Lepisosteus oculatus: one gene and its partner. The protein of the gene in region 1 interacts with the protein of each later gene in a pairwise test. Links are inferred from orthologs where the notes say so. Each region holds a gene or a part of one and is shown on either strand. Other genes may lie near its edges.

Evidence for each region. The genes of interacting proteins can lie anywhere in the genome.
Region 2: the proteins of eef1a1a (region 1) and hspe1 interact in a two-hybrid assay, tested with the Homo sapiens proteins (2 studies listed by BioGRID and IntAct, with this or other methods). The link is inferred for Lepisosteus oculatus from reciprocal best matches to the Homo sapiens genes EEF1A1 and HSPE1.

The regions. Positions count from the first base shown.
Region 1 is NC_090712.1:11,006,568-11,014,683, reverse strand, and holds the start of eef1a1a (elongation factor 1-alpha 1a), read right to left. Parts: upstream 3,025-8,116; 5' UTR 2,939-3,024; intron 1,364-2,938; 5' UTR 1,332-1,363; coding exon 1,188-1,331; intron 941-1,187; coding exon 761-940; intron 664-760; coding exon 367-663; intron 261-366; coding exon 110-260; intron 19-109; coding exon 1-18. Other genes in the region: slc17a5 (sialin), read right to left, coding at 5,160-5,297, 5,608-5,698, 6,257-6,404, 7,123-7,255, 7,565-7,726. UniProt on the Homo sapiens protein: Translation elongation factor that catalyzes the GTP-dependent binding of aminoacyl-tRNA (aa-tRNA) to the A-site of ribosomes during the elongation phase of protein synthesis.
Region 2 is NC_090707.1:7,077,039-7,084,713, reverse strand, and holds the start of hspe1 (10 kDa heat shock protein, mitochondrial), read right to left. Parts: upstream 3,104-7,675; 5' UTR 2,927-3,103; coding exon 2,924-2,926; intron 308-2,923; coding exon 152-307; intron 1-151. Other genes in the region: hspd1 (60 kDa heat shock protein, mitochondrial), read left to right, coding at 5,481-5,654, 6,142-6,477, 6,584-6,679, 7,224-7,317, 7,568-7,675. UniProt on the Homo sapiens protein: Co-chaperonin implicated in mitochondrial protein import and macromolecular assembly. Together with Hsp60, facilitates the correct folding of imported proteins.

The DNA.
Region 1 (8,116 bases):
CGGGCACGGTTCCAATGCCTGGGAAGGCCGGAGAGCACGTGGGTTAAGGAACGGACTGCTACTCTGTCCCTTTGACACCTTGCTTTACACAGAAACCAACAGTTCTCACCTCCAATTTTGTAGACGTCCTGTAAAGGCAACCGCAGGGGCTTATCAGTTGGGCGTGTGGGAGGCTGGATGGCGTCCAGGGCTTCTAGAAGAGTAGTGCCTGAAGCATTGCCATCTTTACGGGTGATCTTCCAGCCTTTGAACCATGTCATCTTTAAGTGAAAAGAAAGAGGTGCTCAAAAATCACAAAGGGTATTCCAAGCAATGTGTCCTAAGATGGGCTACACCAGACAGCCAAGTAAGCTCCATCTGACTTACATTAGGGCTCGATTCCAGCATGTTGTCTCCATTCCACCCAGAGATGGGCACAAAAGCCACAGTGTCGGGGTTGTAACCTATCTTCTTGATGTAAGTGCTGACTTCCTTGACAATTTCTTCGTACCTCTTCTGGCTGTATGGCGGCTCAGTGGAATCCATCTTGTTAATGCCAACAATCAGCTGTTTGACACCCAGGGTGTAGGCCAGCAGGGCGTGCTCGCGGGTCTGGCCGTTCTTTGAAATACCAGCTTCGAACTCCCCAACCCCCGCCGCAACAATGAGGACAGCGCAGTCTGCCTGTAAAAGCGAGGTGGCGACAAAGAGAGGTGATCTGAGCTGTTGTTGTTGTCTGGTCACTTGTCATGGCGGTTACTGATAATACAGTTGTACAAACCTGCGATGTACCGGTGATCATGTTCTTAATGAAGTCCCTATGCCCGGGGGCATCAATGATGGTCACGTAGTACTTGCTGGTCTCAAACTTCCACAGGGAGATGTCGATGGTGATGCCCCGCTCACGCTCAGCCTTCAGCTTGTCCAACACCCAAGCGTACTTGAATGAGCCTTTGCCCATCTACAAACCAATTAGCATACGATAAGCTATTTAAACCAGGCATGTAACAAGTGCTTCAGCAACACCATGCGGCACTATTAAAAATACAACCTAGTTTATTGGCACAAGGTTACCTGGGCTTAATATCACTTCACCTGCCTGATAAAGTACAGTAATCCCATGGTCTGCAAGTTCAGAATAAAGCCTACCATACCAGACTTTCTAATTTTTAAAACTGTTGGAAGGTGTTCTTAAACCGTGAACATACCTCAGCAGCTTCCTTCTCAAACTTCTCAATGGTTCTCTTGTCGATGCCACCACACTTGTAAATGAGATGGCCAGTGGTGGTCGACTTGCCAGAGTCCACATGGCCAATCACTACAATGTTGATGTGAGTCTTTTCCTTTCCCATTGTGAATTTTTGATGATACTAAACAATAGAATCTACAACACAAGATTTACATAAGGTTACACATTTGAACACAAAATATCCCACAACTATACACAGACCATAACCACAGCAGCTTTAACAGGTGTCATGAATACTATGGACATGTATAGTATGGTGTATACTATAGTGTAATACTATGGACATGTATAGTATAGGGGTGGCTCTGTGGCTAAGGATCTGCGTCTGTGGCCAGAAGGTTGCTGGTTCAAATCCCACAGCTGGCAGAAGAATCCTACTCTGTTGGGCTCCTGAACAAGGCCCTTAACCCCAACTACTCCAGGGGTGCTGTACAATGGCTGACCCTGTGCTCTGACCCCAAACTTCTCTCCCTGTCTGTGTCTCATGGAGAGCAAGCTGGGGTTTGTGAAAAGATGAATTCCTAATACAAGAAAATGTACAGGGCTAATAAAGTGATGTTATGTTAATTGTACTGTATGCCAGCATTAATATCTTACTTGTAACCACAGTCTCTGGCATCTGAGCATTTTCTGAACAGCAAATACTACTCAAGTTCAGCAGCCAAGTCCTTGGCACAAGATTGCATCAGGCTGCTCCACCCAGACAGCTGCTTTGCGTTTCTCCGGAGATGGGCAGTTATTCGTCATTTCTATTTCGCACTCCACGGATTTCTATTTGTGTACAAGGTGGATGAGCACTGTGCATATGTCAATGTTCCCTCCATTTTGTAGGAAATCTCCAGTGCCTTGACAAAGCAGCCATTATAGACGTATACTGTACATGCTCACATTACACAACAGAGGGATAAGGCAGACATGCTCATCTTACACCAACACAATAAAAAAAAAAACAAATTAGGATATTCATTCCTGTAACTGGGAATAATCGAGTATTGGTGTCGCCTCTATTAAGAATTAAGAAAACATTTAAATCGGTAACAAAACATCAGTTTGTATGATAGATTTCTCAAATGCTTCCAACAGCCAGATCCTGCTGAATAGGCAACTGACAAACGTCTGCCTGGATTATATTTATGTATTTCAATGTGGTATTTATTTTAAAATCTGCAACCTCGTTTTAAAACGTAGCTGTCCCCCTCGAGCCTATTTATTTAAATATTAATGCAATATATAATGTCTTTAGGCATAATCGGTTTATTATATTAAAAACGGGCAAATGCAATTAAAAAAACACCTTGTGTGAAATTCTAATCTGATGCTCTGAACCACTACAAAAAAATCAAATATCAGCCATAACGATACGGAACGGCTTAAGCCAATGAAACATTAGGAAGCTGCAAATTTAGGTTATAAACTGCTGTGAAGGGCGACAGTCCCATAATTGAGATGTCTGAAGATTACTCCTCCCCCCCATCGCCGCCATATTCTCCCCTCATTCAATGCTCAAAGGCTGTTATTCATTAGCGCAATGTGTGTTTCTAACTTAATAACCATTTCAGAAATCCAGACGTTTTTAACACATGCATCGCAATCGTGAATACACCGTGTAGCTGGCTCATTTCCAGCGCAGCATGCCACCCAGCGCCAAAGAAAAGACGAGGCTTTCCCAGTAAACAAAGATGCTGCAATTATCATTCCAGAATGTCCTACCTGCCTCCAGCTTCTGCGTGCTCGTTGCGGAAAAGAGCGAGCGCCGCCGCTGATCCGTTTATATTTCTGTCGGGAGGGGGTACAGCAATTGTCGTCAGGACTGACATTTCTAATACCCCCTCTTAGCCAGGACAGAGCATCTTCAGGGACGGTGAGAAAACATTTAAGAGTAGCGTTACTGTAATCGTTAGGAGGGCAAACATCATCGTTAAAAAAAAAGACTACCACCGCTCTTTTTTTATTAATTCGCGGTTCTGTTGCTAGGATGCTAATAGGGATGTTAAGCAGGTGGATGCAGAGTAGGTTTGAGGATATCTTTAGTGAAAGTGCAGTTTAACTTGTGAGTAGTCCCCTTGCTAGGTGTGTCTCTAGTGTTCGTCTAGTCTCCTTAATTTCATGGTACGCAAAAAAATACAAGCCATGGTGTTTAACAAGCGCTGATTGATTTCGTTATGACAAACTTTCATTTATACATGCAGTTCAGGAACTTTTTTTTAAAGTTCAATATTGACCAGGAAATATTGTGTACAGAATGAAAAGTTTTCACAGCAGGTGCCATAAAATTTATATGATTTTTATGATAAATTCATACAGTTCGCTAAGCACTCTGCGTTTTGGTGAGAACACAACACTTTTATTAAATAGTACAACTAAACCACACATAAAAATAATAGAATAGAAAGAGTTTTACATTTTAAAGTGATCAATTCCAAGAATCCTTTTTCTGGTGATGAAGAGATACTCACACATGTACATTGGTTTTAACATTTGTCACAAAATAAAATACACCAGTAATTTGTATTTAATGATACAAATTATTATAGTCGTAACAAAGTTTTTTTTTATTTCCCTTGCAACTTAATATCATGTTAAACTGATTTACTCCTTTCAGCACTGTACACGTTCCTGAACAAATAAAGTGCTTTTATTTATTTGTGATTAAAGTTAAGAGTATTAATATTTGTACAAAAAGGATGCCTCAATGTGATATACTTCACATTCCCATTACATACTAAAAGCTTATTCACAGAAGTACAGAAAGGTCTTTAGAATTCACTACAATAACATTTCTTAACCTACTGTACTAAAAACATTATAATTTAAAAATATTTAGGAAAAAAGGGGCTAAGCTATGCCACTTCTTTTTTTAAATGTCAGCTTTTTTAAGTAGAGCAAAACTTCATAAAGTTTGACTTTTTGTTGCTGTTAAAGCAGTAACGTATCACCTTATCACAACAAATAACAGCTGTAACTTTTACGAAATTGAAATAAAAAAGGAAACAATGTGTAGAATTAAAAAAACAAACAAAATCAAGCCAAACATCTGGTTTGAAAAATAAACCACTTTTTTAGTTATAGTGTCATTGCTTCTCTGCTGACAAATTACCTTCATACAGCTACTGTAGCTAATTAATATTTCTAAATAATGCATTTTATAGTGTTCATTTGTCCTATTTCTATCTTGCATTTAGGAATATGGGTCATATTCCAATTTCCCTGACAAGCACATGAGTGTGAAAAGAAATCTCGTCTGCAGACATCAAATCTGACTGGCATTAATATTCCAAATATTCAAGAATCATGCTTTCAGATATGTTACACTGAATAAAGGCACTGAATAAAATTTCTAAATACTTGACAGTACTTAAAATCCAAATATCAACAAATAGGAAACTGTAACTCACTAGTTCCCCACTTTACTACGTTAACCATGTTTTAAAAAAAAACCTTGGGATTTTGCTATAAAACACAAATAGTATAAAACCCAAGGAAATGGCAATTGTGCAATTTCACTAGAATAAACAATACTTTCTTCAAAGAACAAATTTTGCTCAGGAAACCTACACTTGATGATAAACTGCCACTGGCAGTCAATATTAATCTTCTTCTGCCCCCTCAAGAAACTAGTCTGAATTAAACATACATAATTAATAAAAATAATGTCAAAGATGTACACAAATCAAACAATAACATGCCATTCAGTATCTTTAGTTTTAGTTGATGCACAAAGGTGGCTTGATTTTTGTCAGCAAATGTTTGAAAATCTAACAATTATGTCTCACTAAATTTGGTGCAAGGACAAAATCCTGAGTAACATGTTTAAACAAGATTAGACGACAATGAAATAATTTGGCGATGTTGAGCAGAACAGAAAAAAGCATATCACATTGGTCAGCGCGGTCTCCTGATTTCGGTAGAAAGTGATTCGTTTTCCGAGAGCTTAGCTGCCATGTGAGTGAAAATCTGGAACTGCCCAACCCTGGACCACTCCTTTACCAAAACAGGTGAAAAATACTGCACCAAACACATTGATAGCAGCAGCGATGTAGAAGACAGTCTGCCATTCTGGAATAGTGTTCTGCAATAAAGTACAAAACAATGTCTTACTGTACTGTATATCAGCATTCACAGAAGCAAAGATTATTGTGAAAGCATAACTTTTAGATTAAAAAATCTCTTCTCTTTTAGCCAGTTTCCATCTGTCACTTTTCATTGCAATGTGTTTACTGAATGCTTTATATAAACATTGGAAATAATTAATAGAAAGTAGAAATATTATTTCGAGTGTTGCCACATAATCTTAAATAATTAAACTAAAATAGTTCTGTAAAGGCTTGTTACTGTTAAAAGAGAAAGAAAATACTTCTATGCCAATTCATGAGACTTACAGAATGTGTAAGGGCTCTGCCTATAACTGGTCCAACCATTCCAGGGATAGTGGCAAATGTATTGGTAATTCCAAGTAATATCCCAGCATAACTAATAAGACAAAAACAGATAAAATGTTTTTACAAGGAAATCGCGACTATATACTATACAACGCTGAGAAAATGTAATAATTCAAATGTATCACTTCTTTGTGTGATACATTTATATACAAAATTCATGAAAGTCTTAAATAAAGATATTGAATTATTAGTACTAATAATTTAGAACTAAAAAACACAAGAATACAGACCAGCCTAGAGGGTTCACAAACTTTTTCTCAGCACTGTGCAATACTTCAATTTATGTAGCATTAAGACTTTTAGGGAGTTCATTTTCTTTGAGGACATGTGCATCATGTGTCAACATCCACAAGTAAAATTAATAATCAAATTTATAAACAACTTCAAAAACACATACATTTTCTATATTTCTGTGTTAAATAAGAGAAGGAAAAATATATACATTTTAAATATTTTAATAAATGAGTATTACCCTAGATTAAAGAGCAAATGAACAGATAGAAACCATAAGCAGCAGAGGTTAACTGAAGGTTTTTTCAATAAGAAATTCTTTTCGTTGAAGAAGAATGAGTGTGGAAAATTTGCTTACGATGGCGCAATATCCAGGTGATTTATACTAAAGCCTGATGCAGAGATCCCACCCAAGGCAGAGGAGATTGTCAGAAAAGTCACAGCCAGGATATAATTACAGCCTGTATACCCTGCACACACCAGAAATACAGCTGGTCCAATCATTCCTAAAGAAAAAAAATATGCTTGGTGAATGGTTTCTTTATTAAGATCTCATGTCAGTGATCCTTAAATTTAGGAGAAGCAAATTACTTAATTCGACCGACCAAGGAACACTTTAAATGCCCAGTTATTAGCACAACATTGTTACCCATCTTAAAAGCTCAATCATTTTGTTAATTAATTGTAATAATTGTTTACATTCTTCTCATGTACATATGTTATCAATTCACTGTTAATAGCATGCATTTATCAAGGGTCACTCAAAACCCCCGAAGCAATACCTACAGTATATAACAGCTTCAGTCCACTGTAAGTAAGCCACAAAGTGCACCAACTTCAAAAAGGCCTAGATCAAGTCACTAGCTGAATGTGACCTAGACTCCCAACACACTGTTCACCGGGAATGACAACAGCCAATTAATAGGCATATTAAATGGTTTATTGAGAATTTGAAGTTATGGTTATTTGGCTTGGTTGAAGGTTAACCTTCTGGCCAATTTGAGCCAAATTATAGCAACCAGCATTTCCAAATTGGGCAAGAAGGTTAAATTGGCAACTCTAAAATAATTAATGGTAAAAACATCTGCTATATACTGTAAGTATCTGAAGCATCTTCATATCACACACACAGCAATGCTGATAGCAAGTTGTATTTATCAGGGTGAACAGGCTTTGGAAATCACAGGAGCTCTCCAAGAACAACGATATTTCTGTGCAACTAACCGATCAATGAGAAACACTTGCGCACTCTTACAGTAGAAACCATCCATGTTTCTCTCAAGTAATCTGCAAGCTGACCACCTAGAAGTGCCAATATCCAACAGCCCAAATATGGCAAAGCAGACAAGAATCCATTCTGTATGGGAAAAAATTGTGTTAATTACATATTGACATTCAGCAAAAAATAAATTAATAATATTTGTACTATAGATTATAAATAAAAACCAAGCATTTGTTTACAATTAACATGCTGACACTATAAAAAATGTTTAATCATTAAGGATTTATCAATCAAATCTTCAAAGTGTACAATTTATAATTAACAAAAAGCCCTAGTTCTACTGGAATTATCTAATGAAATAACAGCAATAAATTTATAGAGATAACAGATGTTATTTTTAGACAAAGATAAAAAAAACCCAGGCTTGTTTCAAAAAGTCCTAACCTCTTGAATGTTGAATCCTAGAACGTTTTTCATGTAGGTGGGTAGTAAGGTCAGCAGAGTGTAGAAAGTCCAGTTGTAGGAAAAATGAGCTACAACAATGGCCCACAGTGGCACAGACGTCAATAATGACCTCCAGGGAATGTGTTTAGTTGAGGGAGACAGCTGAGAAGGGAAAACAACACAAAATACGATATGACTCATGAATAAAACTGCTAGGAAATACTAATTTAACACTGTGGGCAACAACAGAGGATCACATAAAGGTTAATTTCACGCTGAAAAGTAGAAAGAATAAACGACAGCAAGGTATTTAATTTCGAACAGGCTACGTTCAACCAAATGAAAGTTTTCAGAACACTGACCAGACAGTTAATTAGTAAATGGGATAGGAGAGAATAACTTTAACGTGTTTTGCAGGATTAATCTTGCTGCGGATTTAGAATATGTTCCAAAGGTTAGGAAAACAATGTTAAGAATTCACCAAAGGCCTTGAATCAGATGCATTAGGAAAGGTCTAACGAAGAAAACAGTAATAACAGCTGCACAAGGAGG
Region 2 (7,675 bases), on another chromosome or scaffold:
TTTGATTAAAAGGTCATCCACTATGTCATTTTTCCTCAGTCTTTTTCTTTTGACATTTTTTTTAAAAAAAGCAGTTTATCCTTCTGAAGCGAAGCAGCGCTACTTTCATGCGTGCGGACCGGGACCGCCCCAGCAGGACCCCCGAAATCACCTTGTTGACACTCCCGGGCCCCACCGCCACCACGGTGGCCTGCAGCACCTTCCCCTGCGACTTCTCGGGCAGCATGATCCCGCCCTTGGAGACGGTCTCCGCGGCCAAGCGCTCCACCAGCACGCGGTCAAACATCGGGAGGAACTTCCTGAACGCCTGAGGGTCCGAGAGAGAGGGGGGGAGAGATGAGACTAGCGCCATTCCCAGAAATAACACATCCAATCGCAGAATTCCCACTCCCACAGGAATCAGAAAAGGGAAGAAACTCAAGAGAGCTGCAACACAGTGTGTGATCTGATGACATTGAGCCTGTCTCTCAATAATAATAATAATAATAATAATAATAATAATAATAATACAGTGTGTGATCTCCTGTCCCAGCCTGAGGAGCAGACACTGTCTCTCAATATTATTATTATTATTATTATTATTATTGAGAGACAGGCTCACTGTCTGTTCCTCAGGCTTGGACAGATCACTCAGATCACTCACTGTATTAATAATAATAATAAAAATAATTATACAGTGTGTGATCTCCAGTTCCAGCCTGAGGAACAGACAGTGAGCCCGTCTCTCAATAATAATAATAATAATAATAATAATAATAATAAATAGTGTGTGATCTCCTGTCCCAGCCTGAGGAACAGACAGTGAGCCTGTCTCTCAATAAAGTTTTATATGTTTAATGCAAATGTCCAATAATTAATGTCTGCAAATGGTATGTTAATTGTATCTGGTTTGGCAACACTAATTCACTGGTCACACCACTGATGCCCTGCGACTCCGAGAGAGAAGAGAGGCAGGAGAGAGAGCATCCTCGTCCCGAGTGGGAAAGCAACGAGCGCAGGCCACTCTGACCCCAAGGGCGGAAGTCCTGCTGTCCTGCCACCAGGGGGCAGAGCACACTCCCTCTCCCCCAGAGGCCCAGGGCATGGAGGGAAGTCCTGCACGTGTTCACGCCTTTACTTCACTGCGAGCGGTACATCTGGGTGGCGAAGCAGAGAGATGCCCAGGAGGAGGAGCAGAAACATCGAGTTGCTCAGCTACTCCTCCGAAGGTGCCGACGCAGAGGTGTGAACAACAGGTTAAAAACGAGGATGAAACCACGATCTGGGCATCACGGGTGCCGAGACCCGCGACAACAACAGCTTTGTCACTCGCGATGAGTCGGCAGAAGGAGCCGAGGAATTCGGGAGCAAAGACAGGGGAAGGAGCCGGCTGAGGAATGTCGCAGAGCGCCCGAGGTCTCGCAGCTCAGACAGATAAAGCGGCGTGTGATCAGGGATCCACGAGGTCCTGTCCCTGGCCCGCGCGGAGGAGGAGGAGGAGGAGGAGGGCTGTGCGCGCGACCTTGGATCAAGGTCACTTCAAGGGCACGGACAACAGCGGAGCAGGGGGGAGGGGCGCCCCGTCTGCCAACAGCCTGTGAGCTCTGTAGGGAATTAATTCCCAACGCGTGGTCAAGGCAGCCAGACAGGAAGCATCGTTAATGATTGCCGTCAGCAGAGCACAGGGCAGGGAACATTGATCCTGCCAGAGACACGGGCCTCCCCCTCCTCTCCTGCACACTAGCACCTCATCCCAGAAGTGCAATGGGGTCACCAAGGCGACATGCACCTTCAGATGCAAATTGCACCACTGGAACTGGCAAGTCGTGTTTTAGTAAAAATCACAGGTTTTAAAAATGTCCACCCAGAAAGTTCTGCCCCTCTCCGGGGGTGTTAAGACTTAGCCCAGCCTCAGACTTTCTGTGCTGCGTGAGAGCACATCTGGTTAACTAATTACTTGATTGAAGAGATCATCGTAACTCCCTGTAACTACTGGAGACTGGGAAGGCTTCAATTAAAGGCCTAGATGTGCGACTATCTCGGAAAGAGCAAGGAGGTCACTTCCGAGACGAGCGGGACCTCCAAAACGCCGAGTTCACGTTTCATATCTGCCCCGGATGTGATTGAAGATAAACCGGAGCCACAGTTTGTTCTTCCGTGTAGCAACTTGCGTGATTACAAGGGCACGCGTGCCGAGCCGGCTGACACACGTACGGCAGCTATCAAGAAGACTTTTAAACACACGCATTTACAAAGAATGAACAAAAAAAAACGTATTTATTCACAAAATTAAGTTCCCTTTTTTAAAAATTGTGTTCTTAAAGCCATCTTTGAGAGCAACACTTCTATTTAGACGTCTGTCGATGGTCTACGGGGTTCACACATGCATGCGTTTTACAGGGACGTAACAACTAAACGCCTCCGCCGAGGAAGCAGAGGGCGGACTTTAAAGGCCGGATTCTGTCAGGTCACCTAGGAAGGAACACGGAAAATAATCCAAAAGGAAAACGTTAATGCCAAAGGCAAGACAGCCCGCCGGGTTGCTCACTAGCACCGGTCTGAGGGCCCCGACCTTGACCCCCGGGTCTCTGTCGGTTCGGTAAAGCCCGAATTCCGTCTCCGGTGTCGCCGGAGTCCCCCGCCCGCCCGCCCGCCGGCCCAGTCCGTGCGGCTGCAGGTGTTAAAAACCTGCGACCGCGCCGATCCTATCGTCAGTATGGAGCAGTATCCCCACCTCTGCGCCCAGTGAGAGCCCGCTTTATACCAAGTGTCCAAGGGACCTGCTTTTACAGCGCGCTCACCAGCGTGCTGCTCAGCTTACACGGAGTAGAAAGTACTAGAGAAGGCGCATCGGAGCTTCTGATCTGGATATCCAGACATTTTAAAATTGCTCCATTGCAGGCCGCCCTACGGCACGGCCTGCGTACGGAGCAGAGAGTCTTACCATGCCGACGTGTCTCTATGAACGTTTCTACACACAGCAGCGTGGTTCCACCGCGACCCTCCTGTGTCCTGCGCTCGGGGCTTCTCCACGCGTGAGACTTGGCTTTCTCTCACACACCAGAATCGCCGCCCCACGTGAAGAAATACGGGCGCCCGACAGCGCATGCGCGCCCCCCCCGAGCCGGTTCCTCCCCCTGTCCCGGGTTCCAGAGCCTTCTGGAACCTTCCCGACACGATCCCCCGCGCGCCCTGCAGCCAGCGCGCAAACCGACAGCCGCCCCCGCCTCCTGTGAGTGCATACAGCGGAATTACTGCTTCATACACGGGTGCAATGTGTTTCAAAGCGATGCATTTGGCAGCAGAGCGTGCATCTCCGCCCCCCCCGCCATTGCATCAAAATTACACAACATTCACCTTCGACCCCTCGAACTTTTTTTCCTCCTCCAATGGCGTCCGAGAAGTTTCTGGAAATCGCCTGCCCCGGAACGAGCATGGAGGTTCCCCCCCCTGGCGCGCTCTATCCCACCTGCGTTTAAAGTTACGTTCCCGGAGCCGTGTAACGCGACGGGCGGGCCCCAATGAGGTGTGTGTGTGTGGGGGGGTCTTCACCGCCACAGTCTTGCGCGCCCCCCCCCAGCGGGGCGAGTGTGTGCAGTTATACAGGTTTCGGGGCGGCCCCCAGCGTTACCCGGATGGAGATGCCCATGTGCGCCGCTCAGAGGCCGGAGAGGAGGCGCTTTTAGGCAGCAGCGCAGCTCGCCGTCTTACTTCTTCTGACAGAGCCCACTGCGCGGCGGTCGTCTGTTCCCTCCTGACCTCATCCCATCCACCCCGACAGTAAGTACCCGGGCTCCCCTTCCTCGCTCGCTCGCCGCTGGAGCACGGTTCCGCACGCCGCTCCTGGGGAGCCTGTTCAGTCTCTGCCGTGACGGAGCGGAGCGCTACAGCTCGGTTCGAGCCGACTGAAGGCGGCGGGCGGGCGTGCGTGCGTGCCTGCTCGCGTGTCTGCAGCGGTGGTTCGCTCGGCTGTGGCCGTGAACCTCCTCATTTCGTGTGGGCCTGCCCTTGGCCGCTTCGGGTGTAACTCGTCCGCTTTTCTGTGCCTATTTGTGTTTTCCACTTTACACCCCGAGGTGAGGGATTGGGGGTGGCTCGTTTGTCCTTCTGTAGTTTTCCGGCTGGACTGGACATGAATGATGAGCGCTTGCATCTGTAACGGACGCTGTGGAGGGGGGAGAGATTCTGCTGTCTGCCCGCTGCTGCGCTGCACATCTCGAATATCGCCCAGCACGGCGTTAAGCGCCTGCCGCGTGAAACGGGCGAGCCGAGCGGTTCTGCGGAACCGTGTAGTGCTGTGAGAGCTCCAGTCTGTTCTCGTCAGCGTCTGACTGAACCTCGCCATCCCAGTCAGAGACGGCTACGTCTCTACTGCTAGAAGGATAATGAACTGCATGTATTCGGAGAAGTCGGGGGGTTTTATGTTGGAATTAACGTTTTCAAAGATTGCGCTTTGTTAAGGAGGTTATTGTACTCTTCTCATTAAGACAGTCAACTTAAAAACACATCACTGGATAGTGATTAGTCGTAAGCTCTGCTACGTCTTGCGCTGTCCAGATAGTAGCTTCCACCGCGAGCAGGGATGTCCTCGTGAGCGGGGGGCGCCGATGAAGCTCAGTTCTAGCGAGCTCCGCGTGCGCCGCTGCGCACCGGCACGCTCTCGACGCAGCCACGGCTTTGACCTTGTGGTGCGTGACCCCCGCACGCACGCACGCGGGCGGAAGGACGGACCTTCATGCCGAAAAGACGCCGTGAAAGATTAGGCGCTGTCACAAGACTGAGGGGTGGTTTGTAGTGCGTTTACTTGAAGTGGATTTGATTGTTGTTGTTTTTTTTTTGGCTTCTTGTCTGTAAACAGTTAGGACCCCCCCCACACGGTCTTTATAAAGAACAGTTCTGCGTTCCGAGCCGCCCTATCCCCCACATCGACTTCTAGCTTTTAAAATTACACCTGCTGAAAGTGTAATTACACAGTAAAATAAGAGGGCGTCGGGTCTGTCCTGGCGCAGGAGGCGCTCAAGGAGTCGTGGTTGAGTAATCTGCGGCCCGCTTCGAGCCTATTACCCCGGTCGTGCATTTACAGTGCATTGGCCTTGTGTGCCTTCACGGTTAAGAGCTCTGATAATCCGGCAGTCGCCACACAGCTGTCTAATCGCCACAGATTCCCTTCTCCCGGCGGTGGGTTTTCGAGGGAAGGCCGTGTCCTTACAGGTACGACCTTGGCCCTGCGTGTCCGGGGTGTTAGTGCTGAAGCAGGCCCCTGCGCCTGCTCAGGCTGTGTTGCCATGGAGACAGGCCGGGCAGGGTGAGCTTGCAGTGCAGCCCCGCGCCGTGGCAGAAGTGGGGTGAGCGTGCGCGTCTCGGGGTACACAGCTGGGGTCTGGAGCCGGAACAGGTCCAGGCCAAGGCGCCCCCCCCCCTGTTGCTCCTTGGAAAGCAAGATCCGCGGGATCGCCGTCTGTCCGCCGCTCAGGCCCGTCTCTGCTGCACCCCTGCAGGAAATGCTGCGCTTGCCCACCGTGATGAGACGGATGCGCCCGGCGTGCCGAGCGCTGGCGCCCCACCTGACGCGCTGCTACGCCAAGGACGTGAAGTTCGGCGCCGACGCCCGCGCCCTCATGCTGCAGGGCGTCGACCTGCTGGCTGACGCCGTCGCCGTCACCATGGGGCCCAAGGTAGGGGTGGGAAGAGGAGAGGGGGCGGGTAGGACACCTGGTGGGAGAGGGGGGGGTAGGACACCTTGTGGGAGAGGAGCAGGGGGGTAGGACACCTGGTGGGGGGTGCAGGGAGAGGAGCAGGGGGTGGGGACACCTGGCAGGAGAGGGGTCGCAAGAGGAGAGGGGGCGGGTAGGACACCTGGTGGGGGAGGAGGGGGGTAGGACACCTTGTGGGGGGGGCAGGGAGAGGAGCAGGGGGTGGGGACACCTGGCAGGAGAGGGGTCGGAAGAGGAGGAGGAGGGGGTGGGACACCTGGTGTGTGTGCGTGTGTGTGTGTGATACGCATTGTTTGGCAGTGACGCGTGTACACGTTTGTGTGCAGCAGGAAATGTGTAGCGGTGGGTTGTTTGTGTATGGATTGTGGGTTTGAAGCATGTTGTGCAGAGATGGATGCCTGAGGCCTGAGATTCTGTCCTGGTTCGAGCGCCTTGTGCCTTCGTGCAGGGTCGCACGGTCATCATCGAGCAGAGCTGGGGGAGCCCCAAGGTCACCAAGGACGGGGTGACGGTGGCCAAAAGCATCGACCTGAAGGACAAGTACAAGAACATCGGCGCCAAGCTGGTGCAGGACGTTGCCAACAACACCAACGAGGAGGCCGGCGACGGCACCACCACCGCCACCGTGCTGGCCCGCGCCATCGCCAAGGAGGGCTTCGACACCATCAGCAAAGGCGCCAACCCCGTGGAGATCCGGCGCGGGGTCATGCTGGCCGTGGACACGGTCATCACCGAGCTCAAGAAGCTCTCCAAGCCCGTCACCACGCCCGAGGAGATCGCCCAGGTAAGGCCTTGCGTGAGGGAAGGGGTGCGCCTCGTTGCCCCCAGGGTAAAAGGGAGGGGTACCCCGCTTGACGGCCCTCTCTCTCTCTTTCCTGGCCTTCTTTCAGGTGGCCACCATCTCTGCCAACGGGGACAGCGAGATCGGCAACATCATCTCCGACGCCATGAAGAAAGTGGGGCGCAAGGGGGTCATCACCGTCAAGGTGGGTTGCAGGGGGCTTGTTTTGTAGGGGGCGGTGGGGCGGGGCATCACTCTGAGCTCCATGCCCGGGTTCGATCCAAGTAAATGTCCATTAGGTCCATTAGGAACTGTCCAGTGGGAACTGAATTGGCCACAGCACTGGCCACTGGAAAGAATGATGCTCTCAATCCAGATCTGGAGAGCAACAGCGTGTTGCTCAGTTGTTCACCTTCCCCTGAAGTGTAAGAGTTGATGTATTAAAGAGCCTGGAAATCCTGCAGGAATAGGCAGAGGAAGAGTAGCGGATCGGGGTAGTTCGACAGCAGTGTTCCTGGCTTCTGCATTGCTGTTGCTCTAAAGGAGCTGGTGAAGTGAGACGGGGGGGGGGGGGGTGACTGCTTTTCCACTAGCCTGTGGCTCTCGAGTTGGGAGAAGTGCTCCGGGAATCCGTGTCTGGTGATCTGGGAAGCAGCCTGTCGCGGGTCTTTCCTGGGAGAGAGGTGTGTGAGCTGTGTGATGGGTCCGGTGTGCCGGCTGATGCCGTGTTCTTGGATGTGTGTTTTCAGGATGGTAAGACTCTGCACGACGAGCTGGAGATCATTGAGGGTCTGAAGTTCGACCGTGGGTACATCTCCCCGTACTTCATCAACACTGCCAAAGGTGAGGGCGCTCTGCCAGGCCCTGGCCCTACCCTGTCCCCGCCACACTTCCTCTCTGCAAGGTGGCTTCTGTTTGAGAACTGTAAACTGTTTGTTTTGGGCTGTTTTCTCTTTCCTCGTGGCCTTTCTTTTGAGCGTCTTTCGTAATAATAAGTAGAAACGAAACGGGAGTCATCGGGGAGCCCATCCGCACAGCGACAGAAACGCTCGTGTGTGTTCTTATCAATGTCCTGTCTCTCTGCCCCCCCCAGGTCAGAAGTGCGAGTTCCAGGATGCCTATCTCCTCCTCAGTGAGAAGAAGATCTCCAGTGTCCAGTCCATCGTCCCGGCTCTCGAGATCGCCAACCAGCACCGCAAGC